4 linked regions of the Drosophila melanogaster genome follow. The protein of the gene in region 4 purifies or fractionates together with the protein of the main gene of each other region. This does not show direct contact. Each region holds a gene or a part of one and is shown on either strand. Other genes may lie near its edges. The genes, in order: PDCD-5, Pfdn4, CCT4 and mst.

Region 1 (7,440 bases), on a different chromosome or scaffold from region 4:
ACGACAACAAGGTCAATATCTTCTGATATTACGCTAATAGTAAGTATTTTGATTAGAAATCACGCTATCAAGCTATCTATTGAAGATTAAGTTATAAAATCGATCAAGAAATAATCCCGAAAATATCGTGTGCGTAAATGATGTGATATTTGTGAACTCTACGCAAAGTTCAAAGTCCTGGCCACAACTTTGGTGAGCAAAGCAGTCAATTAATTAATTGATAAGAGAACCAGAGTCAGGAGCAATCCACTTAGTAAAGGCATAGTGGTAGAACCGTCACCGCCTGGTACAACAATGGGAATGTAGCCGCCACTACTACCCCCATCGTTATTGCCGCCCTCATCAGGGATCTCCGGAATTTCGGGTATTTCCATTTCAACATTGGTAAATAGGTATTGCTGTATGTACGAGGAGCCCAGAATCGAAGTATACTCCGGCTTATAATTGTAGATGAGCGTCCTGGCCTGCTCCGTGGCATTCGAAAAGCTCTGATTACTCTCCCTCGCCTCACTCACAAAGAAATCGGCGAAGAATTGACCACTTAACACAGCAGCTGCGGTATGGGGAATGCTTGTCTTTGTAAACTCGTACAGCGGTTTCTCCGGATGGAATTGTACTCCATAGAAGGGGTACTTTATGTGCTCTACGGTGGAAATAAACTCAACGCCATTCCAGTCATGATTTAGGGACATAACCCGCCAAGTTTCGTTTAGTAGATCCCGCTCGAAGTCTTTTTCCGTATAGCAGAACTGATGCCAGTGATAGGTCACATTCTCTTTGACCATGGTGTCCACCACATCATCGGTGATGGATGCAAACAGGCGGCTCTTCTTATAGTCTAGATAAAAATATGTAGATTCAGCATTCGGAATATATAAATTCATATAACAAACTATACCTTCTTTAAACTCCATAGGCACGGCCATGCCGGTCGCTTCGCAATTAATGCGGTGTTCCGTTTCGTTGGCCAGCTTGTAAACCAATAGTTCCATGCCCAGACAAGTGCCCCACACCGGCATAAAGACGCCCTGATCATTTAGTTCAATGGCCAAGTGGATGAGGTGTTCGCCCGCATCCGCATACCCATTACTCTGATTAAACCAAGTGGCTCCACCGGGCAACAAGACTCTATTGAAGTAGCAATAAATTTAGATGCGGGAACTTCCTAGAAAGTATATTTATACTTACCCATTTATCTTGCGCATGAGATCGTCGTAGTAGCTGCGATTGCGACCGATCCTGTCAAAGGTATTTGTATGAAAATTGTTTATTAATTGATTTCAGGCAATCTTATCAATACAACGAAATTTCGGTCTCCAAATCAAATTTACTCTCTAATGAATTTATGTTCTATAAATACACGTGTCGGAATACTTAATGCCACCCTACCCTATTCGACCTTATCGAGCAGTGGCAGAATTACCGGTCACGATAAGATCTTTGAATCTTTCTGCTCACTTACCAAATCGGCACTACTCGGGCTCCAGCTCCTTCGAGATACTTCACATACGAGGCGGCTATATAGCTGGTCTTGTTATCAAAATGTCTCGAGATCAAACCATCGACGTAAACTTCCTGTGTGAGAACCCCTATGATGGGCGATGAGATGCCAGCCTCTGAAGCGGCCAACAGAGCTCCGATGAAGATCAGCAAGCTGATCGAGAACTTCTGCATTTTGTTAGATCTTAAAACGAGTATTTTATCTTCCGAAATATCCGTTTTTCTTTGGTTCGGTTGGAGGTATCTTCAGTTTCCTAAGTACCTTGTTATGAGCTATTGATTATTCCACAGGTAATTCTTTAAAAACACGCTAAGTCGGTAAGCTAGCTTTCTCAGGGAATTCTTTCTTAGCTTGTTGTTTTAATTATTCGCAAGTTTTCCGGCTGCCAGAAGTATTTCCCAACGGGAAGTCTTGGCAAGGGCACAGGTGAGTCCAACCTCGGTGACCAATTAATAGGAACTGTCCGCTGAGGCAACAGTCGATTTGAATTTATATAAGGTGCGACGATTTTCCTCACCTATACAAATGGCTCAGGCTGTGTGCGTGGGCATGAGTTTGCGATGTGTGATTTCTAGGGCCTTCGGGGGGTGTACCCCTGGCGACTTGAGTCCAGCAGATAGTACTGCGATTAATTGATTATATTTTTTTTCCAAAGTATTGTGACCGTGGCACAGGGTGCTCAATGAGAAGGGGAATTACTCCTGGGGCTTCCATCGAAAGTTGGATAAAAACCTGTTTTATTCGGGCACTATTGGATAATTAACTAATTGCATCGATCATAACTGTTCAGTCGCGATTTTTATTCACATTATAAAACAAACGAAGTCTGTGTTATTGTTTACTTAACAGCTGATAGATAGCAACAGGCGGACGTGTGTGTGTGCGATCAGAACCGATTGCCAAGTCGATTAATGCCAATTCAGCTGCCCAGCAAACTTTGTTGCTTCTGTTTAATGCTGTTCTGAATACTCAGCAGGTACTTCATCTCTACGAGGGTTTCTTTGACTCCCGAAAGATCTTTGCTATCGAAAAGGGCATTTAACTTCCGGGCCATCTCCTCCAGTTCCTTGATGAGCTGAATATTTAAATTCTCCAGCGTTTGGGTGTCTTCCGCATCCTCCACCTCCTCGTTCCGCTCCATCATGGCCATGAGAAACTCTTTGTTAAGAGCGCTATTATCCTGCGGCATCTGTTCGCCCTCCAGTTGAAGAAGGTACTGACCACGATCTATGGGCGTGGAAAGCGTTTTATATGCCTTGTTGATGAGGGAACTCCAGTCTGAGGAGTTTGTTTGCTCCCGTGAGGTTCTGTAAACAAGGGGATTTTATCGTTGCCTTCCTGATTTTATCACTTATGACTATACCCACTTATTACTATATTTATCGGGATGCACAATGGTCTGCAACTGGCGAAAACTTCTTGTCAACTTCTGGGACTCCAAAGAAAATTGAATGGGAAAGCTGAGCAGTTTAAAGTAATTCTACAGAAACTAAAAGTTAAATTAGCCAAATAAAATGTAGATAAGTACTAACTATTCCTGAGTTAACATCCTGCAAGTGTCCACAGTCCGAACATATCATATTCTGCTTTAATTCCGATTTCTTTTGGCAATTCCAACAAGCCGGCGAAGATTCAACTGAAAATTTCCGTATTTCTGGCAACTGGAATTGATTAAATTGTGCTGCATTTCTAACAAGCGGTGTATAATTTGTAGCTTTTACAGCACTTTTAAAGCCATTAATAACTCTACTCATTTTCTACAATAAATTTAACTGAATGATATACACAATCGAAGCCTTTAATTACACAAGCTGATAATAACAAAAAACAGCTGATATGAAACTAAGGTGGCAACGCTACTGCTTTGCGACTATCGAGCTTAAAACTTTTTAAACTATTTCATTTAACTATTAAATATTGACATTTATGACGTTTAAATAGTCATTGGTCTATTTAAAATGTAAGACCTTAAAAATTGTTAATTGAAATTAAGTAATTAAATATAGTATAACTTATTCATAGAAACAATTCAATTTAATAAAGTTCAAATAGGATAGAGGTTCAATATAAGCAAAAAGAAAAGGAAGGTAAAAATATACAAATTAATGTCTTTAATAAGTAACATTTTATATATATACATAAGAAAATATCAGACAAAGAGCAGGAAAGTATACCAACATATAGTCTTAATGGATAGTGAAACACAGAGTTTTATGTACAGAAGTATAAATTTATTCCAACATGTGGCTTACAATCTAAAGTTCAGGTCGCGTGTCCTTCGAGCACGTCCTTACATGGAGTCCTTGCGATAAGCGCGGTAGTTGTTCATCTCATTGGGAAATGTTTTATACAGCTCCAGCAGCAGATTCGTTTTGAACTTCTTCAGGCCCTCGATCTTGCCCTTGACCTCCTCGTTCTTGGCCAGTGCCTTCTCCACGCAATCCTTGGTGTACAGCTGAGGATTCTTGTCTTGGTCGATGTAGTCAAAAAACACTTCAAATGGCACATAGACGTCCTGCACCTGGGAGCGCAGCTTGTCGATCTCTTGTAGGCCGGTCACCAAGCTGTTACTAATGGTGCACATATTTATAGACATTTGATCAAATAAATTTTAGCATTTTCTTACATTTTCTGGTTGAGTACATTTTGACCCTGTGGCTGAAAATCGCTTACGATTATGCGGATCTGACGAACATTCTCGATGAACATCTCTAGCTGGGTCTCAAGGTTCTCTAGCGGTGCAGACATTTTTAACGATTCAAATTCGTTCCTTATTTTGTGGGTATTTCGTTAATATGTTTGTTTTCCTTGGCAAATATTTTATTTTTCTTCGCAACTCTTCTTCTTCTAGAAAACACCGAATGACCAGGGCTACTCAAACGCAATTTTGAGCATTCGGATTTACGAATAAGCAAGGAATAGCAAGGTCACACTGTTCAATCGCACACTTTTTTTGCTACAAAGAGCGTGATTTATTTTTATAGAAGCAAAAAAAGCAATAATTACTTAATTTACTGCCATAAATATACTGAGAATAAGAACCCAGAATGTCGGATAGTGATTTGGATGCCTTACGCGCGCAGCGCATGTCCCAAATGCAGTCGCAATTCGTAAGTGAAATATTTGAGTGGCTCCAAACCGGCTAGATTCCTCTAGAGAATTCCAAAAATAGTCATAACTTGGAATGAAAGCAAATTAGACTATATAAAATATAATAAAAATGTTAAGAATACATTAGCAATGGTATGCTTTGTTAGTTCTTATAGACACCTTCCCTATGAGTCATCCTTCTCGACTGGGACACCTGTTTCTTTAAAGGGCAATCCTTCAATGACCTTAACTCCTTTTTTCCTATTTTTAGGGCGGCGGCAATGATGCGGAAAAGCAACAAGCCCAGCAGGAGCAGATGCGCGCCCAGGAGGAAATGAAGCACTCGATATTATCCCAAGTTCTGGACCAGCAGGCCAGGGCACGACGTATGTGGATCTAGACCTTGAATATCTCTAGCTAATAACTTATAAAATATCATTTAGTTAATACCCTCAAAGTCAGCAAGCCGGAGAAGGCGCAAATGTTCGAGAACATGGTCATCCGCATGGCCCAGATGGGTCAGGTGCGTGGAAAACTTGATGACGCCCAGTTCGTCAGCATCCTCGAAAGCGTCAATGCTCAGATGCCGCAGAGCAAGTCCTCCGTGAAATACGATCGGCGGCGGGCGGCCATCGATAGCGACGACGACGAGGATTACGGCTGCTGATTCGTCCGAAATTCCGCCCAACATCTAATTTAAGTTATGCCCGCTCCTCACATCCGCTAAATCATGTTTATTACTTTTACTAACTTAAAACGAGAAACAAAACTAGATGCCCAAATACGTATGGACTTCTTTGTGTCAGATGGCGAATCTTAAAGCGTATTGGAAGTTCGTGCCAAGCGGCAATGACATACACTGACATAGGACTAGATTTGGCTTACATTTATATGCGGTAGAAAAGTGGTCTAGAGGAGGGGTGGGGTCTTCTACGACTTCTTATAGGGATTTATCATTTCATATTCTTGTATGTTCCTAGCTTTTTATGATCTTGCTCGGAAATGCACTATGAGATCATCTTATTTACTTTCTCTAACATTCACTCGCAATCAAAAGCTTTCACTAGATTCATTTTTAAGTTATCCCTTTACTCCTTCTTCTCGTGATCTTCATCGGGATCTTCTTCTGTGACCAAGCAATCGCCGCAGAAAATAGAGTACATGATGAGCGATAAGAATCCCAATGGCAGGCCGAAGATGACAGTGGTCAGCACGGGATTTCCCAGCCACATATCCCTTAATGCTCTTCGCACTTCGAACAGTGCCCGATTCAAACGTACAAAGTACGTATCTCCTCCATAGGCAATGGCACTTTCGTTGCGGATGGATTCTAGGAAAAGGTGCAGTGCCTGTGGAGTCATTTGCATTGGATCATCTTCGGGTATGAAGTGGTGTTGGGTGCTCGAATTAATCGCTATCAAGTGAGGCGTGGGCAGTTGATCCAAGATAATGGAATGTGCTATTGATGGCTCGCCAATCTGAAATGGAAATATTGATTAGCTCCAAATCGATAAAACTATGATAGAATCACTTACCCATCCAAATTGGAATTTGTCATGATATCGCGCCCTATGCTTTCTTATCACGCCCTCCACCATGTCCCGAAACTCCAGCTCATGCGTGGCTATCTGATTGAGCTTATCCTCCTGTACCACAGCCAAAACCAAGTACTTGTTTGTCTTGAGCAGCTGGTGGATGTTGAACCGAGTGACCTTTGGGAAGAGTGTGAACCTCTCCACGTTCACCCATTGGAAAACGGTTTCGTTCACTTCATTGGGGTCCATTTCGTGCGCCAAATGCCCATGCGGATAGAAGTGGTGCTGCTCTTCTTTGTAGACAATCACCGCTGGCAGTTTCTCAAAGTCAAAGTGTTGGGCAGCGATATCCTCGCTGGTGGCATAGAAAAATCCATGCTCTTGGTAACCTTCAGCTGCAGCATAGTATGTATCCCACACCACGCCCTCCTGTTGGCCTACGAAAATGAAAAATATCGTATGGGATCCCTTTAGCATGTCCACACTCTCCGTTCGCGTGACCAGCTGAACTGGAGGCCCAGACATCCTTAAGGCATAATCCACCAGCTCATCGCGACCGCGGTCTCCGTTGTAGGTGAACTCCATGTTGCCCTTGATGAACATAATGGTGGGATAGCCACGAACCTGTAAGAATTTGGGGATGCTTATAAGGAACTTGGACCAAATATGGTATATTCTCACCTTGAACTCCTTCGCCGCCGCCGGATACTTGGTACAATCTAGGCGACCCACTCGAACGTTGGTGGCATGCAAAGCCTGAGCCACCAGAGCAAAAATGGGCTCCGTTTTCTTGCAGTAGCCGCACCACGGGGCATAGAACATGACCAACCATTGGCCCTCGTGTCGCACATCGATGAACCGGTCACTGAGCTCCAAAACCTTCGAGGATAGCCCCGTCGAACCCAGAGTCAGAAGCAGAGCTGTTGGTTTTGTAAATCATTTAGCATCAGCTTGGATTTTTTCTATTGTTCGTAATTTATTTACCACTTATGAGGCCGAAAATCCACATAGAATTTGGCGACATCCTTGCAGCAGGTTTAATTTGTACTTCCAAGTGTAATTTACGTGCCCCTTATTTGCTATATCATGCTTTCCGTTATTTTAATAGCTTCTTTACTTAATTTAATTAGTTGATTGGTTTAATTTTCAGTTCCAAATTATTTTCCTTCGGACCACAGCAACAACAAAAGAAAACATTTGCAAAAACCACCCCCTTTAGACTGACCAGATGTGGAAAATATCCAAAATACTTAAGGAGATACTCTTTAGTCCAATGCGTAAATTGAACAAGTTTATTTATTAATTTTGTAGTTG
Region 2 (7,133 bases), on a different chromosome or scaffold from region 4:
TCATTATTTATGAATTGAACAGCACAAAATGCTACAGTGAGAGTGATAACCACCATGTATTATTTATGAGACTTCAGCAGTTTCCCCCAATTTCTGTTTTTCCAGGCAGCTCCTTTTTGTGTGGCCCGCCAAGAACATTTATTTTCCGCTGGTTGTGCACATAATGTTGGGGCATTAAAAACAAAACCGCTTATAATTAACCAAAAACTCAATTAAGTGCAGTCACCAGAGCAACAATGGAGATGCAGAAAGTTGGGGTAAAATTTAAGAAACTGCTTTAAATGTAACAAAATAATTAATAATACTATTTCTATGAAGTTACAAAGAAGTTATTTCATTTCCTTGACATTATTTTTCTGACTTGCAGCTTTGTATTTTCTTACTTATTTCAATTGCACTTCAAAGTTAGCAAAACTTTCCAACCTAATGACCATACCATATTCGATCAACTTTACCCTCATTATAAGCACATTAGCCAAGTGTCGCTTATTCCACTTGGCCTATCAGTCATCAGGGTTAATCATATATGTGTAGCTGCCATTATTATTCATTTTCGTTCTACTTATGCCACCTGTCGAGGATCCACTAACAAAACTCGAGTTCCGCCTCATCAGAAGGGACAACCTCTAAGTGAGGCCATAAATCCAGCTGAAGCCTCTCATCGGGGAAACGTGACTCTCATGTGGAGATACAATGAGTGTCTACATATATGAAATGGGTCCGTAGTCTGCTGCTGGCTTGATAAATTAACGCATTAAAGCCATAGCTGAGCTTCCACCACCAAGAGGCGGCTTTTAATAACACAAATTGCAATCGAATCCGAAAAAGTCAAGAGGAACGAAAACGGAATGCGAAATGAGAGCCGATATATGTTAACTCGATTTTCATGGCGTTGGCTCATTCGAACGGGCCAACTTAAAGCATATATGTGTTGTTTTTTTTTTTTTGTACCCAAATTCCCATTAAAACATAAACAATTTCTGTTGTAGACATCGGCTCTCCGGGGAGATTGAGGCAAACCACAAATAGCAGCTGGAAATAAACAAAAGTTGGCATATCTCAACTATAGAATAAAAGGCCAATGACGCAGTCAAGTGCATATGCTGACAAAAAAGTTTATAGAAGCTGTATTTTTTATATATATAATAATATAATATAAATATATATGTATATATATAATATATTTAAAGAAGTGTGTTTCTCTTACATTTCTTAATGTTTCTTTTCTTTGTATATATGATATATTTTTAAATGAAACATAAATTTCATTTTTCTGAGTGCAAGGACCAAACTACAGGATAACTACAACTGACTGCCTGGATCAAACAGCATTTACCGAACCGAATTGTCCTCGTGCGCACCTGTGTGCAATGAAATCGAAATCAAAGCACATTCATCCTGCAAAATGGACAAACAATGAAATAGTTGGGCAAATGTAAATACCAACTGCAAGCAGTCGAAATACATCAATAGCCCAGCAGAGCAAAGTTTAACTATCTATTTTTTTTTTTTGCGAGAAAGAAGGTAGTCATACTTCAACTGCCGGTCGCCAATTGCTGCCAAGTTTTCCACTCGATGGAGATTGGGAAAAGAGGCAAAATCCACAGGAGTCGCAGAAAGGGAGGGGAGGCAGCGGAGCCCGCAGGAGGTGACCGACATGTGTGCCTGGTTTAGTGGAAAACTGATTGACGCCATGTCCTTTGATTTCCCTCGTGTTTCAGGACTCACGCACTGGAGGAGAATGGCCGAAGGATGCGGGACGTAGCGAGTCCTTTTTGCAAGAATCCTGTCCATATGTGGGCATCACTTGATGACCCGAATGTGGGTCAATGGGAAAGGATTCCATCGAAGGCAGCAATGGAAATGCAAACCAAAGGTGTAACCATTTTCGGTGCAAATCTAAAAATGAATTCGATTAACTTTACGTAGAATAAATATATAACTAAACAAGCTTCAAGCAAGAATCATTGAAATAATGCAAACAAATTCGTATTCAATCCTTTTATCATTCATTACATACTTTGCAACGAATATAATATACCCTTTTACTTTGCGATAAAAGGGTATAATAAATTGCAGCAACTTCGTTCGAAATGTTTGCTTAAAGGAAATCTCAAGGATAATCTGATTGCGATGCTAAAGCAATAAGCTGATGAAGTTTTCCATACACAAGTTCGTTACCTAGGATAAAACTCAAAGGACAACTTGTTGCAGCAAACATCGTTTTTGCATGGCGCAATTGCAATTGATGCGATGCAAATGCAATAAATTAGACATCAATTTGCAGCAAAAATGTCCATATTATATATATTATTATAGATCTCCCCCCCCCCTTTTGTTGCAATTATTTGCCTAAAACCGAAATTATTTCAATTTGTGAACTGACAATGTCCATACGGACTTTCGGCGGAAAAGCGAAAGGATAAGCGGAGTCATCGTCAGGATATTAACACTATCACTTCCTGCACTTTCCCACTACCTCGATGGCTAATCTCGAGTTTGTGTCTAATTGCATTTGCATATTTTGATAATATTCGAAAAGGGGAAATGAAAGTGGCAAATGCATTCGCCATTCGAAATACTCAGTTTAATGCGGATTCAAAGGGAATGGAAAATAAGGGTGGAGGCGGGTGTTAGTGAAATTTAATTGCATCGTGCGAAGAAATCCCGTTTAATTACGGCGATTAACTGTAATAATTTATTAGTTTTTGCTTAATTTGTGACATGTGCAAACAATTAGTGATTCAATCGCATGGCCAAAAAGGAAGCAATAATAACTTTGACTAATTAGCTGTGTGCGGTAGGCTTAATTCGTGGCGAAAATAATATGGCTGAATCACAGAAACAATTAATACGCTTTTTTTATTCGTTCGTTAAGTTTTGTAGTGCCACATACTAAAGAGTAGGAAAAAAAAACGTTGATAAGTAATTACTCTCATTGAATTTGCATTATTTGTTAATACTTTACTAATTTAAAAAAAAATTAAAGGAAGTTAGATTTTACCTATTTATAAAATAGTTCGATTTAAATGTAAGCATAGGACATATAATTTTAGCAAATTTTTTTTGTTTTTAAAAAGTAACTGCACTTGAAAATGTTTTTACACAGGATATGTACATTTTAAATGTACTCCACTGTAAGATTACACAAAATCATTTTTTTTACACGTTACTTACACTGTTAAGTGACAAAATTAAAGGTAGCAAATATCTAAATTATTAACCCTACTTATTAAATATTTTATATATTTTATATTCAACATAGTCATAAAAAATTAAACATAACTATTTAAATAAATATAAGTGCTGAAGATATAACAATAAATTGCTAAAGCGGAATCACTTCTGTAAAATAGCCTAACGCCTCGTTCTCTCTGTTAACTGCTCTCCGTTTGTCAACACTAAAATGTTAAACAAATAAAATTTTTTGCGAAGCACCGAAAACAGCAACTGTTTGTAAAATATCATAAATTATTTATTAAATTAATTAAAACCAACGGGAAAATGGCAGCAAAAGTAGCGAGCGGCACGAACAAAGTGTTCCAGAACGTGAGTATGGGTGAATCATCAAAGGACAGCTGACTAAGATGAAAAGTAACCTCACTTTGTCATGGTTTTTTCTGTGCATCTGCTCAATTGAAATTTATGATATATATTTTAAATCGCATTTTCAGCACGATGACGTGCACATCTCCTTCGAGGATCAGCAGCGGATCAACCGCTTTGCGAAGCACAACGCCCGCATGGATGACTTCAAAGCGGAGCTGGAAACGAAGCGCAATGAGCTGAAGAGCTTGGAGGAGGCGCTGGAGGAGATTGAGCTGTTCGACGAGGACGAGGACATACCGTTCCTGGTTGGCGAGGTGTTCCTCTCGCACAAGCTGGAGAAAACACAGGACATGCTGAAGGAGACCAAGGAGCAGGTGCTCAAGGAGATCGCCGGCGTGGAGGCCAAGGCGAAGGTTATCAAGGCGGAAATGGACGAGCTGAAGGCTCATCTGTACCAGCGGTTCGGCAGCAATATCTCACTGGAGGCCGAGGATTAATCCACAATTGATCAATTGTTAATTTAACATTTTACAAAATAGAGTACATTTAATTTAAACTCAACTAAACGCGATGTCTTCAGATTAGAGCACTAGGAAATAGATGATCAGGGCGATGATAAGCAAGGTGACCACCACTCCTCCGATGAATATCCGACGATCCTCGACCAGCCGGCGTTCAATAAGTTTCATCGTGTGATTGGACAGACCCAGTGTGCTGCCTATCGCCTGGATTCTCTTGTGCGCTCCGCCCAGCGTCATTCTCTGCGAGATCAGGCTCTCGAGAATGCCGCTGCCCGAGGCAATCATGTCGTCCACACCCCGATGGGCGTTACCCAGCTGCGTATGATGCTGCAGTTCGTAGTCCAATTGCAGGCGCGTTTCCTCCGGCTGCGCGCTGTTTGCCGTGAATCTGTGATTCAGCAGCTGTTCCCTCTCGGAGATCTCCTGCATCCGTCGCTGTCTTCGTTCCCGCGCCGTCTGCAGTGATGTCTGCAGGTGTCTCAGGTCATATTTCAGCTGATCCACACGAAGTTTGGAGCTTTGTCGCTGCGAAGGTGGCACCTTATACAACAGCACATCCAACCGATCGCAGTTTCTAAACACAAAAGATTTATTTAATAATACAAACTCCTCTTGGGATAATATATATCATTGTAGAACTCACGCGTTCGCCTGGGTAATCTTCAATTGAATGCCGTTTTCCACGTCAAGCGATTCCTGGGCACTGAGCTGACTCAGTCGCTGGAAATCGCGCTCGATGTCCTTTACCACATTGTTGGTTTGGTGGTACAAGCTCTCCATGTCGTTACACCTATTGATTCCGCATTAATTTATGGGCCCGAGAATATTCGCAAATTAATATTTAATCGGTTGCAATTGGTTTGTTTTTAAAAAAGCTGACGCGTTAACATTGGACAGAGTGTCATGTTAGTTAACAGCACTGATAGCAGAGCAGCTGGCTGCCGTTTTTGGTATGACCATATATTATGACAAACTTATCAGCTAATGCAACTATTAAATTTCCTTTTTATTTTCAGAGAATATGCTATATATTGTTAAATAATGATTTTTAATTAGTGACCAAATATTGCACTTGACGGCGCTGTTAAGTGTTACCACTGTTAACGGTGTAAAAATCAGAGTTGTTAAGCAAGCCAAGCAAAACCTAAACCGCACTGGTCACATCGCACTGGAAACGCGTTAGCACACTTTTACGGTATTTTAGCACTTAGCATTAACCACAATGGCGAATACATCAAGTACCGGCGTTGGTAAGAAATAAAATTGATAAATTAGCAATTTGGCAGCTTAAAAATGCGATCCCCGCACGCCCGGAGTTGTTGGCCATCCGTTTTCTGCATTTCCCGCTGACCGGCGGCGATTTTTCCGCCGCTACGGACCCGACAAGCGGACCGCAATGTGATTGTGTGTGTGGTGCAAAACGGGCAAAAAGAAGACGAAAGCAAGGGCGAAAGACGAAAGCCGATAAAAGCGAAATGGGCGAATGGAAATTTATTTTCGCCAGCGGACCACGCTGCTCTTGCAATTTTCCTTGGCCGCGTTTGGCGTTGGAAAAACTCCGTTGCAATTGGGCTTCGTGACTTGACATTTTCCGAAATATCATCCCCGCTCCTTCCTCACTATGTGGCTCTCGCTCGCTCGCTCGCGCACGCTCTTCTTCTTGCCTTCATACTTAAAGTTTTTTCTTTATTTTCCTTATTTTTTGCACACTTGCGTTTTTGCAAGCTGCCTTGTCTTTTCTAATTAAATTAGCTGCCATTTACATTTGCCTGGATTGTTTTTGCAAATGCAGAAATTATGCTTTCGCCCCGCCCCCGCCGACACACCCTCCCCCCGCGCCCATCGTGCTTAATATCTGCGCTTCGCATTTTTTTTTTTTGACTTGTGTTCTCTGCACGAAAATGCGTACAAAGTCACACGGCCGAAAACAAAAACAACACGAGAAGCAGAGCGCAAAACAACAACAACACGTACCCATATGACCCCACACTGAGAGGAAAAGTCGCCGAAATATCACCGAAAATGGTTTATACCATAGAAAATGTGTAGAACAGTCCTTACTAGTTTGTTTCTAAATAGATAAAACTGTCGTTTATAATTATATATATGTATCTTATCTGTACGAGCCCGTGATTATAATTATTTAGAAAGCTAAGTACTTTCTTGCCCCGCCAACCAGAAAATTAAAAACAAGCTGACATTTAACTTAATGACTATATTTAAAGATTTAAGTTTTTCAGTGAAAATGCATTATGTCATCGAGTTCTCACCTCTTTGCCGTTTCACATTGCAGTGGTGCCACGGAATTTCCGCTTACTGGAGGAGCTGGATCAGGGCCAGAAGGGCGTGGGCGATGGCACCATATCGTGGGGCCTGGAGAACGACGACGACATGACGCTCACCTACTGGATCGGCATGATCATCGGTCCGCCTAGAGTAAGTTTCCATATCGATTGGACTTTCCTCGCTACGTCACCAGATAAGCCCGGTTTATTAGGCAATTCTGTAGGATTATTGACATCTTATCGCTTAGATTGCGCAGACCATTCAGTTTGGATAGCACCTTGTATCTTTGAAGGCAGTTTATCTCTTCAGTGCGATGGAATTTGATAATATTTGCATTTCATTAGCACCGCTGATGCAACTCATTGTGAGTGTGGGTTTCAAAAGTCATTGGCTTCATTAGCTTCTTATGTGGTAAATATGAATATAAAATGTACCTCTGCTAGATTTTAATCTTATATGAAAACTACAAGCTGCAATCTGGGATTATTGCTAGAAAATATAGGTATAGAAACGCTCGTGCTAATTTATTCTTATTTTATTCACAAGAAAATATTCCACTTTACATGCATTTATTGGGGAAAACAAGGCTCTAGCCTTGAATTACTAGCAAGGAAAGCGGCGGAAAACTAAATTTGCATTTAATTTTTGTATAGTCTAGAAGTGTTGCGCGCGCCGCCGCATGAATCATTGAGGAGTTTGGGTGGCAGGGTCTTCTAACAGAGCCCCAACTTGGTTTAGTTGCATTGGCAACTAAAGTGGAGAAGCGGTGGACTAAGG
Region 3 (8,940 bases), on a different chromosome or scaffold from region 4:
GGTTCCTTCTGCGGCAGTTCCATCAGTTCAGGGGAATAGGAGAAGCGGGTTCAGCATGGAAATCCATCCATCCAATCTTGTACATAGTCAGCTTATGCTCCAAATTCTTCCACAACATTCCACATGCCAGACTCTCCATATCAAATGCAAACAATGCCATGGATGTATTTAGTAAACTAGGTGATAGCCAGTCGTATCAGAAAATCCATTACGAATTTATGAGTACATATAGCTCCAGTACACTATACTACCTATTCGTATCTGTATGCATATAGAGTTCCTAGTTCTAACTATTCCCCAAATGCCATACGTGTGTATCTGTTGTGCCCCATATCCCCCATATCCATTATGCCACAAATCAGTCCTCTAGTTGTATTTACTGTACTGTGTATTGACCTAAATGTGTATGTATATGTATACCGATGTTGTTGTACGATGTCCAATTGTAAATTGATCTTGAACACACTTAGATCGTAACATCCAAAAATTTCAATAAAATTATTCCGATAAAATAATTTATAAAAAAACATACTGTATTTTAATATTGGGTGGAAACTGTAATCAAAGATAGATGCAGTTCAAGATATGCGGTCTATATATTAGAATCTTCTGCTTAGTTCCATTCCATTTCTATATTATTTTTTAAAAACATTTATTTTATTTTTATTTATCTTATTCAATGCACTAAAGAAAGGAGTTTCATTTAATTTGCCACCCATATTTACCAGCTGTATGTTTTTGAAAAGCCCTAGCTTATTATTCAATTAGCCAGCTCTTTAGGTTTACTCCAGCGTGTGCCATATAAAAACGCACTCGAATCTCATTAGGCAGAGCCTAAATAAATATTGAACGAGGTATTTAGTTAACTGATTTCCTTGGCCCGCCCCAAAAGCGTTTGCCAGCCACGCGACAAAGGCAAACAAGACCATTTTTTAATAAACTTCCTGGCAAACGCGGGCCAAAACAGCAAAAGGATGCGAAGGAAGGACCCAAACCAGCAACCCCTTTTTTTTTTATTTTTTTGGTTGCTTTGGTTGTCGAGTGTGGATTTGTTGGATAAGAAATCACTTCATCTTTTTGGGCCCGGCGACAGTCAATATGGCAGCGCAGACAGAACCCTTATTTGTATATCGAGGCAAGCGTGTAAATCCTTTTTTTACCAACCCCCAACTCCGATCCCTCGGCCCGGATTTTCCCCCTGCTGCCAAAAGTTTGCCGGGCTCTGATTCGTTTAGGGCACGAATCTCTAAAAAAATGATAGAGTTGGGGAAGTTGGCAAAGGGTTCATGCCATCAATTCACACATGGTTATGTCATATGCTCCTCGCCTCGGTGGTTGATTTTGGTCTTGTAGTATGGGTAGTATGGATATAGCTCCTGTGTTGTTTGCTGTTTTTTTTTTTTTGGACTACGATGTGGGCAGTGGAAGTATTTTATGTTGTCCCAGTTGTATCCTTTGGAAATCGCTTAAGCGAGTCAAGTCCTCGATGGAGATATCTTAATGGAAGTGTGCCAATAAATTAGGTAAATGATTGTGAAAAGGAGTGGAAAGGACACATGTGCTTAGCACTGGTTTTTTAGCATTTTTTTAAGCTGGATAAATATTATTGAGTAATATTTTCTATGCATTTAAGGAAAGCTTCAAAATATCCTGAATAAATATAGACATTTATACCTACATATGCCTGGTTTAAAATCAATCTGAATAGACACATATCCTTTTGCATTTTGATTTTTAGAGGCTACTTTAATTTTAATTTATGTATTTCACTTTGAGGCAACACATATTTATTTAAAACTTTTACTTGCCTGCAGCTGGCCAGAGTTGCGAATAAATTTTTAATCTGGCCAGAGGTGAAATCTCGACCAGAATCCTTACCCCATTTAATTTGCAGGCCATTCGCCCACACACACACACACACACTCTAGCACACATCAAACGGAGGCCAAAAGGAAAAGCCCATCGATTCCAGCACTCACACTTAATTGGCGGGCACTCGAATTTTGGGCAGCTCGGGGGCTTGGGACTCTTTGAATGTTATCAGTCCAGTGCAGACGACGTCCGTCCATTCCACATGGCCAAAATGTAAAGAAGAATGGCAGCGGACGCAATTTCGGTTTTCAATGGGGGGAAACTTCAATTGCATTGGTCATATTCAAAGTGCCCTAAGCCTGAACTGGTCCAAGTGGGTTGATAAGCCCCGTGGGCTATTATTTCGGGGGGATTACCCCGGTGGTTTCAGATCGTCCGGTCGAGATTTCATTTGGCTTTCATTTGATCGATTTGATTTCCTTTCCTTTCAACGAACGTTGAAATATTTGCTGCATTTGCAAATTGAATTTTCTCGCCGGAATATGTTTCATTCCTGTTTCGCCCGATTCATTTATAACAATTTAATGAAATTTTCGAATGCGTTTTCATAATATTGTCGTCGTCCTGACATCATTAATCACTCGCCACTTGGCAGGACTAACGAAAATTAAGTTTCCTTTATGCTTTTGCTTCAGCATTTCTATTCTTGATAAGCATTTCGGTCTTGCCTCCTTGAGTGGCATGAACTAGATGGAAGTATTTCGCTAAACTGAGCTGTTAAATGTTTGGACCATTAAATAAATACTTGAAGTCTAAGGACATAAGAAAAACTATTTTTTTTAAACAGAAAAAGTTTTTTCGTTTTATGAATAAGTAACACGAGATACAAATGATAAGAATAGGTACAAATTATGGAAGATAGATTAACATAATTCTTAGACCGATAAATACGCTATTGCACTTAGCAAACTATTTCTTTATATATTTGATTCATTTTATATCTTTTAGCATCCTTTGTTCCTATTCTATCTGCCAGATACTCGAGATCTAAGATATGACAGACACTGGTAATTTCGGTTGAAAGTGCTCGCAAATTATATGGCGAGCATATGTTAAATTTCTGCGTGACTGGCTGACAATTCGTTGCTTTGAATTTCAATTCGTTTGGCAAAAAGAAATGTAACAAGGACACACAGGACATACAGGACATACACACCCCTTTGCGCCCTTTTCGCCCGACTGGAGAACATAAGACTTGTGCAAACATTTGGGTAAAAAAAAACAACAGCAGCAAACGCGGGGAAAACACAATTGAATTACAATGAAAATATGAAATGAGCAAAAAGCAGATGAAGAAAATCGCACACAAAAATTAAGCAAACAGGCGAAACAAAGGAAAAGTGCCCGAAATAAAAAGTTTCAAAAGTGTGGGCCACTGGCTCTGCGAGCAAATAGCTCGGGAAAAAAGCGCAAATTCAATATTTGCTCAAAAAACAAATGGGAACGAGGACGTGAACGACAATGCCCCAAGACAGTCGAGCAAATAGCTAAAAAATATAAAAGTAGCGAAAATAAAATAAATAACTAAGAGGGGTGCTGCTCAAGTCGAATGAGTTGATACACTTCATTTTCTTAGGTGGATAAAATGCAAGCTTAAGATTGGTACTTGAAATACTTAAGAAAACATGTATTTTCTATTTAATGAGATTTTCAAAAATGTTGATTACAAAATTAAGTTTAAAGAAAATGATCTCATATTATCAAAAATGTATGTAGAATATGCTCATCTGAAAAGCGAGCACTGACTTTTCCACCCCCTGCAAGTCAAAATGGAAACCCAAATCAATGGCTGCTGCGCAAATAAACTTTAAAATGGAAAATTTGCATGCGTCTCCCGGAAAAGTGATAGAAAACCAACCCCTAAAACTTTTCAGCAGCCAATTAGCGGAATAGCTTTTATTGGACGGGCTAAAAAAAAAAATCAAAGCCAATCAGTGGCGTGATCCGAAATCAACACCATCTTGGCCATCACCTAGATGGGTGGTGGAAGATAGTGGGCTGGTGAACTCGATCCCTTTTGACATGTTTACACATTTAATTAACTTACACGCGCCGAAAGTTTCCGGACACGTTAGATAGTCCCCGTCTAATCACACCCAAGCGAAAACCCCACCCGCATGAACTTCCAAAATGGGGCTAAGAAAACAAAAGGATAAAGACCCTTTCGCAACCCAACCCCTAAGTCTTCCCTTTTTGACAATTTGAAACCAGTTCAAGTGGTTTAATCATTTAACGCACATCATAAAAATCGCATCAAGTGATTTTTATTTACACGCCCAGGACAAAAAGGATCCCCAAAACCTAAACGGAATACAATGATTGGGGCGGGGGTGCGAAATGGTTGGGGGTGAGCCATCCCTTTGAAACCCAAGGCGTTGGCTAAGAACAAGAAAAATGAACTCGCTCACTAGATAAGGTTTCGGTTAGTTGATAGACTTTTACGCTGTAATGAAATCTTAGAAATTCCATTTAAGAAGGAAATATATATGTATTACAAATAAGCTTAACCGCAAAAGGTATTAGCTTTTAATCTTAAGGAATATATAAGTCTTTATATAATGAGTACGAACTTCCTAAACATTTTTCCTTACTCCAATTTGTGATTAACTAATTTTATAGAACTATTTAACCTCAGAACAAGAGCACATATCAGTAATTAAATTCAAGTTTTCATGTAGGTTGTGTTAGCGAAGTATTTAATCATATAGTTTTATTTTTTAAATACATGTTAAGCTGGTGAGGCGTAGTGTATATGTGAATTTTATTCAAAATTTAATGCGCAACCGCATAATGGACATAAGATGTGAGACTTTAGATGAATTTGCGTGAAGATTGATCTTGATCAGAGGCAGACGACCGAAGAATGCGGATTACACTGCTTAACTGAAGGTGTTGACCTGTGAATAAATAAAAACATTCATTTAAATTTAAATCATTTCATTCATTTGTATAACACTTACAATATCGTCGATCTTCAAGATCGATCGAATCGTCTCCGTGGCCAGGGTGATCGACGAAATACTGACCAGCAGCGGCTGCACAACGTTCTCCGCGAAAATGTCTGTGATGGCGCCCTTGCGCACATTAATACCGGCGTTCTTCTCACCCTGAGCGTGGCGGTTGCGTAGCTCCGTGACCGTGGCAATGGGATTCAAACCGGCGTTCTCAGCCAGAGTGGAGGGAATCACCTCCAAAGCATCGGCAAATGCACGGAAGCAATACGCATCCACACCCTCCACGGTTTGTGCCAATGCGGCTAGCTGCAGGGCCATCTCAATCTCGGGCGCACCACCGCCGACAATCTGGGCGCGCAGCTTCACCAGGCAACGGACGACACAGAGGGCATCGTGCAGGGAGCGAGCAGCCTCCTCGAGCACCAGCTTGTTGGATCCGCGGCAGATGATCGAGACAGTGCGTCCCATGTTCTGAATGCCGGTGATCTTCACAAACTTGTTGGTACCACTGGCCACCTCCTCGACCAGATCGGCACTGGAAAGGTTCTCGGCTGTGAAGTGATCCAGCGAAGCGATCGGTCGGCAGTGCAGGGTCTTGCACACGAACTCAATATCCTCGCGCTCCACATCCTTAACGACCATGCACTTGATCTTGTCCAGGAAATGCTGAGCCAGATCAGAGACAGCATCGCTAGATAAGTGGAGAACTATCAGCACAAAGTGGACAAATAACAAGTAAGCTAAACCTACCGCAAGATAGACTTCTGAACGAGAAGAACATTGCATCCTGACTTCTTGATCTGCTTGACAATGTTCAGGATGTATGAACGCTCCTCCTTGAGCACACGATCCATGGCAGCGTAATCCGATACAATCACATTGTGATCCATCTGTAATTTCGGCATAAATTATAAAAGACAATAAATTGTTAGGATCATAGCGATGTACTCACATCGGTCTTGGGGGCCGAAATGCAGAACTGGATAAGACCGATCTTGGCCTTCTCAATGCGCTTGGGAGCGTTGGATCCGGCAGAGCGGCAGGTGAAGACCAATCCATCGACCAGCTCGGTGTCCTCAACAGTGCCACCCAGGCTGGAGATGACCTTGATGTTCTTGAGATCCACAGAGGTTTCCTTGCCGGGATCCGTAACCTTCAGCACGGCATCCACGGCAATGGGGGCCAGCAGGCTGCTCTGCTGCGACACCACCTTGGAGTTCAACGAGGTGGAGGCGCTCTTGATCAGCGTCTCGCGGTCGTCCAGCTCGATGGGAGTGGACATCTGTTTAAGAATCTCGACGGCCTTGTTCGAGCAGCGCTGGAACGAGTCCGAAATGGCCGTGGGATGCAGACCCTTCTGCAGCAACTTCTCGCACGCCTCAAGCAGAGCTCCGGCAATGACAACCACGGAGGTGGTGCCGTCACCAGCGGCCACATCCTGGGCACGCGACAGCTCCACCAGCATCTTGGCAGCCGGGTGCAGTACATTCATCTGCTTCAGGATGGTGGCGCCATCGTTGGTGATGGACACCTCGCCGTTGCCGGCCTGGATCATCTTGTCCATGCCGCGGGGGCCCAAACTGGTGCGGATAGCATCGGAAACGGCTGGAAAACAGAATTATTTCAATAGGTTATAAATGTATTTTAATATTTCGTTAAAACTTAATGAGAAACTCAGATAAGTGGAATTCGTGTGGTTAGTTTTACACAGCAGCATGACTAATTTACATACATACATACAAAAAGACATATGGTGTTTTATGTGTTAATTCAAAAAATCTACTGTAACTTATCTTAAGAGATAAACAATAAAATCCTTGTAGCGGATAAAAGGGTATTGGGAATAGAGTATTAAAAATCCTCAATTTTTAGGTTGTTTCAATTCATCACATGAGTAATGCGCGCTCTTCTTCTTCTTCCGCCCAAGAAGTTTCCAGACAGCCGGCATCCAACTGCTTTTTCAATAGGCCATTTGGCCGGAAATTCTGATGCACCACTGCTCGGAATTCAGTCACCTCGGTTCTTAGCTCAATAAATAGCACATACGCCAACATTTTGATACAAAAATGTGTTTAATTTTGTTAATTTCCTCGCTTTTTCTCACCTTTGGCCGCCTGGATGTTGGACAAACGCACATCGGTGGGCTTCGACTTGTCCTTGAAGGCCTTGGCCGTTGGCTTGATGTTGACAGCTGCTGCCTTGGGCGCCATTGTAGGGTTAAGTTATAGTTTTTTAACAAAACACAGTTATTCTACAATAAATTCACAGCGATTTACACAGAACACGTTGCTGCGAAATGTTAAGGAAAGTGTGGCCGCACTCGCTGAGCTCAAATATACCGCCAACTTATCGGCATCGATAACATCATCCCTTGTGAATGGCAAATTGGTGTGACCGTATTTTGCGTTGTGACTCGGCTGCTTTATTTACATTGAATTTTTGTTCGATTTTTGAATTTAAAATAAAAATAATGCCGCACGGACACTCTCACGATCACGGCGGCTGCAGCCACGAGGCCTCGGACGTGGACCACGCCCTAGAAATGGGCATCGAGTACAGCTTGTACACCAAAATCGATCTGGACAATGTGGAGTGCCTGAACGAGGAGACGGATGGCCAGGGAAAAAGTGTCTTTAAGCCGTACGAGAAGCGCCAGGATCTGTCCAAGTACGTGGAGAGCGATGCGGATGAAGAGCTCCTCTTCAACATTCCCTTCACCGGCAACATCAAGCTCAAGGGCATCATCATAAGTGGGGCCAATGATGACTCCCATCCAAACATGGTCAAAATGTAAGGAACAAAAGTCAAGGCTGCTTTAATATTACTATATTCATCATATATCTTATTTTTCAGCTTCAAGAACCGACCCAGGATGACCTTTGATGATGCCAGAGCAAAGCCCGACCAGGAGTTCCAGCTGACCCGCGATGCCCGCGGAGAAATCGAGTACTCACCCAAAGTGGTCACCTTCTCCTCCGTGCACCATCTCTCCCTCTACTTTCCCAGCAATTTTGGCGAAGACATAACACGCATTTACTATATAGGTAAGCTCACAACAATCTATGTTTTATCTGTGTTCCCAACTAAAACCAAGTCACTATTCAAAGGTCTTCGAGGAGAGTTCACAGAAGCTCATTACCATGGCGTAACCATATGCAACTACGAATCCCGTGCCAATGCAGCGGATCACAAGGAAAAGGCTTTCGATGGAGTCGGCAGAGCCATCCAATAGGGTTATAGAGATTAAAATTTACAATTTAATTGAGTATCTCTGTAGTGTATATATTTTGTGATCATTTAAGGCAAGAAATGTTTTTGTATTCGCTTAACTTATTGAGCATTTGTATTGCACAGATATTGTGGGCTAAATCATACTAAGTATATTGTGTGGGTGGAATCACATCGGGTCCTATTTTCATGCCCATATTGGGCACTTTATCCGAATGGATTTCAGCCGTGACCTCGGTGAACAGCTTGTCCCACTGCCAGAGATCGTCCTTCTCGTTGAGGCTCTCCTGTGGAACCAGGCAATCGGTGAGGATTGAGAGATCAAAGCCATCCACAGCTGAAAAGGCGTACTGGGAAAGCAAATCGGAATTGGCCTCCTTCAAAACAGCAGATCGTGAGGTGCCAATACTACAAATTACAACTTATTATCGTAGTGAAGAGAAATATAGCAGCTTCTGCTTACGTTGGCGGTTCTACAATCTCATTGAGCATGATTTCGTCCTTGACATCATCCATGTCTGGGATGACGGGAATGTCATCCGTTGGTATGGAATTTGTAGCCGACTTTGTTTGTTTAAAGCGCTCACTAAAATGAATTTTATCATTATAACAGTCGGTGGAAAGTGAAGTTATTGTGATAAACTTGTACTCACTCATCAAAGGAGTTTTTCTTGGACCTAAAAAGATATAGAGCAATCAGTAATGTGCCTAATTCGAGCCTAATCATACCCACTTTAATCCTTTGAGTCCAGAATCCGCCCAGCCACCTGAAATGCGACGAATGGGTGGTCGATGTGACTCGAATTCATTGTTGTATGTGGACGAGGTGGCCGTGTCCGAGGTGGTCGGTGGGGTGCCCGCCTGGACATTCAGCGTAATGTCGATG
Region 4 (8,709 bases):
ATGGCAGCGAGTTATGGAGTGTGCAGAGCATTTGTTCCTCCATCTCGTGGCCATCCGATCTAAAATAGTCAAATAATACTGTTCATAGGAGCCTGGGATAGCCAACCGCGCATACCTATACCTAAACCTAGCGAGTTTTATTACGATTATGCTAAATTAACTTAAATGTTTACGTTTAATTTAGCACTTAACGGAGCGATATTATAAAAGTCATTACTATGATAGTCGATGGATTAGAGCCCGCTACAAAAACTCTCCCCCTATTTTCAATACGTTTCAATATCCATATCTGATTTCGCGTTTCGATTTCTCAGACAACAACAGATATAGACAGTCAGACTTGGCCATATACTAAGCCGCGCAGATCGAACCGACTAGTTTTTCATTATTACCCTCATGATTATTATTGTATTGCATAAACGCTATAAATAAATGAATAAATAATTGTATGAATGTTAACTATTTCAATGACAATAATAAAATGTTAAAAACGAATACGCATGCATCGCTTATATTTCGCCCCTAATGGTGATCTATTTTTCCTGGGACTCTCGGTGTAATGGACTTTAAATGGTATCCAGCTGCTGCATAATCGTCGCTGTGACCTACGGAACTACTGGCACTTTGGGTAATGTGACTGACTCGTAGATATTTTTTATTTTCATTTTCCGTCCGCTGTCAGAAAAGTTGAGCAAATGATATAGTGCCTTCTGCCTCTATTTGGGTAAGTGGTTACCACTTACCGCCACCCGAACAGCGGCCGTTTTAAGCATATACTTGTCAAGTTTCTGAGTTTAAAAAGACATTCACTTACTTGCTTATCGGCTGGATAAGTACAAACATACACATTTGGCGGGCATGCAAATAAATATATATATATCATCGATAGAGTTAACAAACTACATTGTTAATGTGCATGTGCAATTGGTTATTTTTACAGCCCTATTACAAAATTCTAAATTAACAGAATTTTCATATATATAAAGAAAATAACCTGGGTTTGTCAATCTGCAGCTATCTCCAACATAGGTATATTTTTCGTTTAATTTTACTCATTTCTAATTTAGGGTAAAATAACATTTTTAAAATTCCAAACATCTTCAACGGCCGCTTTTATGTTTGGCTTACATTAACAATATTAACTTTATTTCCTTATTGACTAATGCGACTATAGATACCATTTGCTACCCTACAACGCCTTCTTTTTTCTCCGGTGGGCAGGACGCCGTTTCCCGAAGTCCACCTGGCTAGCCATCAGAGGATCATTGACCTGCCGCTCGAAGGCAGCCTTGGCGGCCGACTGTCGTGGCTGTTTGGCTTCCGAGGCTCCGACAGGGGAAGAGGACGTTCCAACCACTCGCTTCAGGGCCTTTGGCACTATGTACTCGGGCATGTCAGAGAGATGACTCTGTACCTTGATGGCGCGCAGAGGCTTGTCGTGCCGAAGCGCTTGCAGATCGCGTTTGTTCTCCTCGAAAAATGCCTTTAGTTTCTCGCAGTTGAGGATCTCTATCTTTATCTCTCGAATTCGAGTGTCGTGAACAGCTACGCGAGTTGCGGCCCGCCAGCAATCCTGAGCACGATAACGGAAGGACTCAACTTCTTCCATTTTAAACTGGTAGTTCCTGAAGTGATGGCACACTTAGCAATATTACAATTTTGAAGATGTTATTCTATACTCACTTGATGATCTGTTCGCCCTCTTGGGCTGCAAAACTATCGCACAGTTTCTTCTCAACTGAATCGTTTACCTTGGACTCCTTCATGCTGACAAAGGACAAGACGGAGCCCTTGTTATTTCCTCTAGCCGTCCTGCCAGCCCGATGGATATAAGACGTGACATCCCTGGGGAAGTCGAAGTTGATTACGTTGTTCACGCACTGAAAGTCAATGCCGCGGGAAGCACTCGACTCCATGTCGCCGCTTCGAGGAGATTTTCGGTTAGTCGCTGATTTGCCTCCTGGCTTTTCCATATGATGTTCGTCGGAGGCAATGATTATGTCGTAGGTGCCCTTGTTGAACTGGCTAATTGTGTGGATGCGAATGTTGGCAGGCAGCTCGGAGTTCAAGACACAGGCACGGATGCCGAACTGCTCTAGGAACAATCGAACCCTGAAACATTTAAATGGGTAATAATTAGAACGAATTATAGTAAGTATTTAGGGGCGGATGGGAATGCCGTCAGCGAGAAGATTAGTTGCTGGTCATGCGTGCGCCAACTGTTGCCAGCTGCCCACTCCCTGCATTTGTGGTTTAATCATCATTGGCTCCTGTGCATCTAAGGCGGGATTCGTATGGTTTACTCACTTGTAACACCGATCGATGCTGTTCACAAAGATTATGCTCTTGCCGCGTATGAGTCTCAGCTTCAATAAGGCGTACAAGATAGCCGGTTTATCGTTTTCCTCAGCCAGAATGCGCTGGTGCGACAACTGATCTTGCGGCACCAACTCCGGCTCCTCGAGTTTAAGCGTAACCGGGTTGTTCAGGCACAGGCCTTTCATGCGCACCACATCGTCGGTTAGAGTAGCGGAGACTAGGACAGCCTGGTAGATGGGAGGCAGGTGCTTAATCAACCGCTTGAAGTCCTTTTCGTAGCCATAGGCAAACACCAGATCCGCCTCGTCCACCACCAAGGTCTCCACATGCTTCAGATCCACCACGCTACCAGCCTCGGCGTAGGCCAGCAAATTGGCGGGTGTGGCAACCACAATGTCGGGACTTTCAGACAAGGCGTGCCGCTGGGTCACCGTGTCGTTGGAGCTATCGGCAATGTCCGCCACGCGTACAACCTTGCCGCAGGACTCGACCAGCTGCTCGATCACCTTACGGGACTGCCGGCATAGCTCCTTGGTGGGCGCCAGGACCACAGCGCTCACATACTGCTCGCTGGCGTTCAGTTTGGAGTTAAGGATCTTCTGAATCAGTGGCAGGGCGTAGGTGGCAGTCTTGCCGGATCCGGTGCGGGCGCGCACCACCACATCCTTGCCCTCCAGAAGCAGCGGTATCGCCGTCGACTGGATAAGTGTGGGCTGCTGCCAACCCAGCTGGGCCACCGCCTGAAAGATGAGCGCAACACTTTAAAATCTGGAACTGTCGGTCGCAAGCCGGGCACTCACCTTAAGGATGCGCTGATCCAGCTCCAGCTCGTGGAATTGCACCGTTTTCTGGGTCATCTGGCTCATGGTGGGCGACGGTATAAAAAAAAACGCTGGAAAATGCGCAGCGCACGTTTTCTGGCCCAACAAGAAAAAGAGCGAGGCATCGGTCCATTGAATTATCGGCGACTTTATCGGCTTATCGATAGTTGAATTAAACAGTTATTGAAATCTACTTTTAAAGGTAAGCAAATACCTTTAAAAAAAATTTAATATATTCCATTTATTAAATTAAATAAATAAAAAGAGAGAATGCCATAGTCGAGTTCCCCGACTATTAGATACCCGTTACTCAGCTAGTGTGAATGCGAACGCGAAATTTCATCATTTTTCTGGGATATCAATAGCTAATTGGGGAATAAAATTAGAAAAAATTTATAAAGTTTGGCTAGATCGACTCGGCTCCTAATCCTTAATCCTGATCAAGAATATATATACTTTAAATAGTCGGAAATGCTTCCTTCTGCCTGTTACACAATCTAGTATACCCTTTTATTCTACGAGTAACGTGTGTAAAAATCAGCAATTAAATATTTTAACTTAACATTGTATAGCACCTTAACTTCTTTTCTAGTTTATTAGAGAAATCTCATAATTCGCTCTTTTCTGACTTATTTATCCTCCGTCTGAATGGATATGTGAATCTATGGGAATCGACAATTTCTTTAAAAATACGTTTAAGCCGACTTATAGCTTCTTCTTTCGGAGATCCTATTTATAAGGTTTCACCGTATCGACCGAAAATAAAATCCGTTGCAATCCAATAACTAAACAATTGGAGCCACAAACGCTACCGTTCTTTTTTGAGATTTTACCGTATGACTTGATAAGTTTGCAATCGGCTTTTGCGGGTTACATATTAAGGTTGTTATGCTCTATTGTAAAAATTCCTCGTATTTCTTATGTTTTTTTTCTCAATGTGATAGACATTAAGGTCATATCGATATATTTACATACATAAGTAAAATTAATAAACATAACATATTCCTATAAAACTTTCAAAATATATAAATCTTTTTTGCAGTTATAAATAATATTTTTAAATATATTTATTTTTAATACAGAGTATCCAATCAACGAAATTAAGAACGCTTATTACCGCACACAGCTATCGATATATCCGCGAAAATCGATAGTTCCGCGGGCTCGCGCAATTGCATCCGAATTAGTCACTTTCGCCGGCTGTTATGGACTATACACGTGAAATTTTGACCTTCCAGTTCGGAACGTACGCGAATTACGTGGGCACACACTTCTGGAACCAGCAGGTGAGTTGTCCTACCCACTTGGCAGCCGGGAGCCTCACGAATTACACATTTCCAGGAGGCCAACTTTAGGTACGGAGACGAAAGCGAACAGGTGGCCGAGGAGCAGCTGCCCAACAATGATATTTTGTACCGTGAAGGGCGCAACGACCTCAATCGTACCACCTACACGCCCCGCCTGCTGTCCGTGGATTTGTCCGGGACCCTGGGACATCTGCCGGTGACCGGCGAGCTGTACGGCAATTTTGTGCAGCGTGATGAGGAGTTGCTGCCCCTGAGCACCGGAGAGGAATTGGAACAGGTTCGCAAGCGGGCAGAGGAGAGCGGCGTATGCTCACCGGAGCAGCTGGAAGTGCAGGAGCAGTCGAAGGCCTCCATTTCCGAATATCAGCGGGATCTGCTCAAGAATGCTGTGGTGCCCGAGAAGAACTATCAGCTGGCAGCGACGGCAAACAGTTGGGTGGACTTCCTTTACGCCAGGTATCACCCGAGAACCTTGAATGTCTTGCCGGGGCTGATCCGAGATCCGACTGCCCAAGCCCTGGGTACCTACTCTGCCGGAACAGAAATGTGGCAGGAAGTCTCCTTCAACGAGGAGTTCTGCGATCGTATCCGTTTGTATGTAGAGGAGTGCGATGGCCTGCAGGGCTTCCACGTGCTGTTCGACATTGACGATGGCTTCGGCGGACTGGCTGGGAAGTGCCTGGAGCACCTCAACGATGAGTACAGCCGGGCGAGTTTCGCGCTGCCACTTCACTATCCCAGGATCACTAGTTATCCCCAAGCGGGTAAGTAAGGTGATTTTTAAAGAAATCTAGCATATTAACACAGTTTGCCCAATTCCCAGATACCCGCCTGTCGCACAGCATTCGGGTGGTAAACAATGTGTTGGGCTACCACCAACTCAGCGAGCAGGCTTTGATGTTCACGCCGCTATCCACGCTGGAGACCATCTGGCGAAACAATAATCTGAAGTCGCGCAGTCTGCCGGGACTCCAGTGGGAGACGGATAACCTCTACCAGACATCAGCGCTGCTGGCCGCCTTTTTCGACACGGCCACCTTGAGTTACCGCCTGCGGCAAACGCCAGAATCTTTGCTACGCTTTTGCGAATGCGTCACTCCAGCGGGCAGAAAGATGACCGCCGCTGGATTGGCTCTGCCATTTGGGCTGAGGGAGGGTCAGGATCTGATAGAGTTTCTAGACCAGAGTGGCGACCACGCGCTGCTCACACAACTCACACCGGGCTGTGAGCCTGGCACATCCTACGTGGTGCAATCAGTGACGGCTCGTGGCATTCCCGCGGAACGTTTGAAACGGCCCAGGGAGCTGGCCGGCGATCAACTTCGGATGGCTGCCTATAGCTGCGATAGTATATCCCATATGCTGCAGCTATACTACCAGTGCACCTATCATGGAAGTGTTACAAATGCGGCAGCCACACCACTGCCACTAAAGACACAGCTACCTTTTCCTTATGAAATGTTTGCAGCCGGTATATCACGCGATGGCTACCGCTTGCCTGAGGGGGCGGAACGCGAGACGGGTAGTCGTGTGGATTCGGCACCCATGCTGGCCGCCGTACAGAACTCCACCAAGCTGGGCGAGCATCTGGACAATGTGCACGCCCAATCGCATCGAGTGCAGCTGGCCAAGTTGCAAGCGTACTCTAATTCTGGATTGGAGCGGGATGAGTACGATACGGCGCTGGATCAGCTGCTTGAGTTCCGCGACCTTTACGCAGACTCGCAGTATCTATAGGATGCTGTGGTTTTGGAAACTAAGATTTTGTGATAAGCCTAGGATTATGTACACAAAAAACACTCGTATACAGTCGAATTCAAGATGAATATGTCATTTTATATTGCCTCCGAATTATATTTTCGTTTAGTTCAAACGACATAATTTGATTAGTTCTTGTGCATTTATTTCTGTTAAATTGTAATTCCCTTAGAATTCCTATATCTCTTTTATTTTTACGACTCTCGTGAAGATTGTTGTAACCAAACTCAACCTATCGATGCATATATTATTTGCTTAGCTTAAAATGTTCTCGAAACCATTGTTACGGCCTGTATGTATAAGCTTAATGTGCCATGCTCCTTGTCCTCTAAGGTGTCAGGTTGGTTAGCTTTACCCGGAGCGGAAGTTGATGGGCTGTGGCCCCACCCGCGGCACTTTGTGATTGGCAGTCTCGGAAGCGGCTTTGATATTTTCGCGTTTCCAGGAAAGCGAGGAAAGTAAAAAACAAAACAAAACAAAACAAAAACAATGTTGTCTGGGCAGAGAATTTTGAGAGTCGTCAATGAAGTTTCTAATAACGCAGAATGGTCGAAATGGCCAATTTGATAAGTATTTAAAAAAAATGTTTAATTCTGAGCGGTAAAACGTTTGTGACTACAAGGTCTATAATTACATCGATTTATATCTTTAGTTTCTCAGCTGAATTCTTGGAATTTATCTGCTGTTAAAAACCTTGTCTTAAACTATTTGCTTACTATAAACATTTTGATTGGCGTACTAATGTTAATGGTGTTAAAAAACATTTTAGGGATAATATGTAATAAAAGGTGTTTGAGCTTGGAAATCGTTAATCTCATTATATCTCATAATAAATGTTGGCTTTCATCGTTAGGAAGTTATTAAATTATGCGTGCCGGATGGGCTATTTCGCCCACTGTGCGACCATGACGACATGGACGTGCCTAAAGAAATCGGTGAATTTTTATTTGCATGGCAATCAATTTTTATTCCTGCTATCCTGGAAAAGGCCAGGGGCATATTAATTTATTGAAAAGGTCTTTATTAAAAAGGATAGACTCTATAGTCAAAAAACTGAACTAACTGTTTTGGGACTAATGAGTTTTTACTTGCACTAAACATAAATTAAAGGGATGTGTGCTTTTATTTCTGAATTACTTTTATCTATGTAATTTGTCAGCTTTTTTACAGATTTTCTTTTTAAAACTCTTGCCTTTATGAAATATAAAAAAAAATATAAAACAATCGCTATGCTTTCATATCAAACACAAATAACGCCACGGACCTACGCAACCACTGGGTAACCGGAATTCGGTCTTTTGAATTGGTTGCCATCTTCTCCGTTGACCCCAAGGACCCTTCCTGGTCGACTTCACCTTTCCGCGACGTCTACGTGCGGCTACTGGCCGCTTTGTTTAACCTTAACCCTTACGGATCGGATCGAATTGGATCGGGAGCTGGGCCGCTTAATTTATACGAAAATTTATTGTCAATAAAGCGGCAGTAATTGAAATCTCAACGGGAGTAAATCACAATTTTATGGACTGCTAACGGGCGGCGACTAGGTGGATGGGATTGGGATTGGGATTAGGGCCTGGAGAAGGGGGTTCATAATTTGGGCGAGTGTTTTCCGTTTGCCGGTCAAGTTTTCCGCACCAGCCCTGCGTCCTGCGTCCACATTGTTTTGCAAATTAAATTTCAATTTGATTGGCACCGCTCCTTTAACATTCTGCCGTCTTTTTAGCACAGGTCCTTAAAGCAGCTGCTGTTCTCTAGCTGCTGCTGGTGTACTTCCGGGGAAAAAGGACCAAATCCGAAATTAAAATTACGCCAACGACTTTAATGGAATATGTGCGTGGAATTCGAAATGCCAAATTGAATAGCCTGCCGAGCTAGTGGAGTGTATATATTTCGTATATTGTTTTTTGCAGCTTTTAATTTTGTTTCGTTTTCGTTTTCATTTTCGATTCGGACCGGTCCGGTCCGGTTCGGTCTGCATGTGAATTGGGACGAGTCCTTGCATTAGCATGCAGTCCTGTCACTGCACATCCAGCCGCCACTCACTCCACCTGCAATACATGTATTTGATTAATGTGGGCTGCACCAGCTCTGATCCAAACACTGGGCCACTCACTGGGTGTCAACTTCTGTAGAATTTAAATTTAATAATCAGGCAGATCTTTAAGCGCCTGGAATGTGGGCATAAAACCAGGCGAGGCATGTAAAATAGTTTCATTTTGTAGGCCAAATTTGCACAGCTCCAATCTAAAACGTAAAAGAAGAAGTTAATATTTTAACTGGGACACAGGGACACTGGGACACTGGTAGGTACACTGAGAACGAAATGCATAATTGCATTGGAATTTAATGTCATCATAAATTCGTAATTATTTAAAACTCAAAATGCCTTAAACCTGAAGTTATTCAACATGCACATATGTATGTAAGGAATGTTGACGGCTGTATCCGGCAGCTAGTCACCTTCCAGGTGGCAAGTGTCAGGAGCGCTAATGAGCTTGGGTAGG

The links.
Region 1: the proteins of mst (region 4) and PDCD-5 purify together in Drosophila melanogaster (affinity purification with mass spectrometry, with the first as the bait; one large-scale study listed by BioGRID). This does not show direct contact.
Region 2: the proteins of mst (region 4) and Pfdn4 purify together in Drosophila melanogaster (affinity purification with mass spectrometry, with the first as the bait; one large-scale study listed by BioGRID). This does not show direct contact.
Region 3: the proteins of mst (region 4) and CCT4 purify together in Drosophila melanogaster (affinity purification with mass spectrometry, with the first as the bait; one large-scale study listed by BioGRID). This does not show direct contact.

Annotation. Positions count from the first base shown.
Region 1 is NT_037436.4:16,229,011-16,236,450, reverse strand, and holds PDCD-5 (programmed cell death 5), read left to right. Parts: upstream 1-4,412; 5' UTR 4,413-4,548; coding exon 4,549-4,611; intron 4,612-4,862; coding exon 4,863-4,977; intron 4,978-5,034; coding exon 5,035-5,258; 3' UTR 5,259-5,370; downstream 5,371-7,440. Other genes in the region: l(3)72Dp (lethal (3) 72Dp), read right to left, coding at 210-838, 899-1,128, 1,189-1,239, 1,463-1,674; Hsc20 (heat shock protein cognate 20), read right to left, coding at 2,421-2,808, 2,869-2,981, 3,034-3,255; MED10 (mediator complex subunit 10), read right to left, coding at 3,792-4,071, 4,128-4,249; Tmx3 (Thioredoxin-related transmembrane protein 3), read right to left, coding at 5,680-6,069, 6,127-6,750, 6,808-7,046, 7,111-7,150.
Region 2 is NT_037436.4:5,364,316-5,371,448, reverse strand, and holds Pfdn4 (prefoldin 4), read left to right. Parts: upstream 1-3,440; 5' UTR 3,441-3,504; coding exon 3,505-3,549; intron 3,550-3,674; coding exon 3,675-4,046; 3' UTR 4,047-4,108; downstream 4,109-7,133. Other genes in the region: membrin, read right to left, coding at 4,131-4,644, 4,714-4,850; Uev1A (Ubiquitin-conjugating enzyme variant 1A), read left to right, coding at 5,293-5,320, 6,364-6,506. UniProt on the Drosophila melanogaster protein: Binds specifically to cytosolic chaperonin (c-CPN) and transfers target proteins to it. Binds to nascent polypeptide chain and promotes folding in an environment in which there are many competing pathways for nonnative proteins.
Region 3 is NT_033779.5:12,685,787-12,694,726, forward strand, and holds CCT4 (chaperonin containing TCP1 subunit 4), read right to left. Parts: upstream 7,149-8,940; 5' UTR 7,037-7,148; coding exon 6,931-7,036; intron 6,432-6,930; coding exon 5,779-6,431; intron 5,717-5,778; coding exon 5,577-5,716; intron 5,518-5,576; coding exon 4,833-5,517; intron 4,770-4,832; coding exon 4,752-4,769; 3' UTR 4,550-4,751; downstream 1-4,549. Other genes in the region: pdm2 (POU domain protein 2), read left to right, coding at 1-39; CG6153 (uncharacterized protein), read left to right, coding at 7,297-7,616, 7,680-7,870, 7,934-8,058; IFT43 (intraflagellar transport 43), read right to left, coding at 8,201-8,462, 8,518-8,640, 8,708-8,731, 8,788-8,940.
Region 4 is NC_004354.4:21,384,667-21,393,375, forward strand, and holds mst (misato), read left to right. Parts: upstream 1-4,310; 5' UTR 4,311-4,345; coding exon 4,346-4,426; intron 4,427-4,481; coding exon 4,482-5,211; intron 5,212-5,270; coding exon 5,271-6,184; 3' UTR 6,185-6,867; downstream 6,868-8,709. Other genes in the region: Ddx56 (DEAD-box helicase 56), read right to left, coding at 1,190-1,625, 1,684-2,112, 2,308-3,059, 3,120-3,185.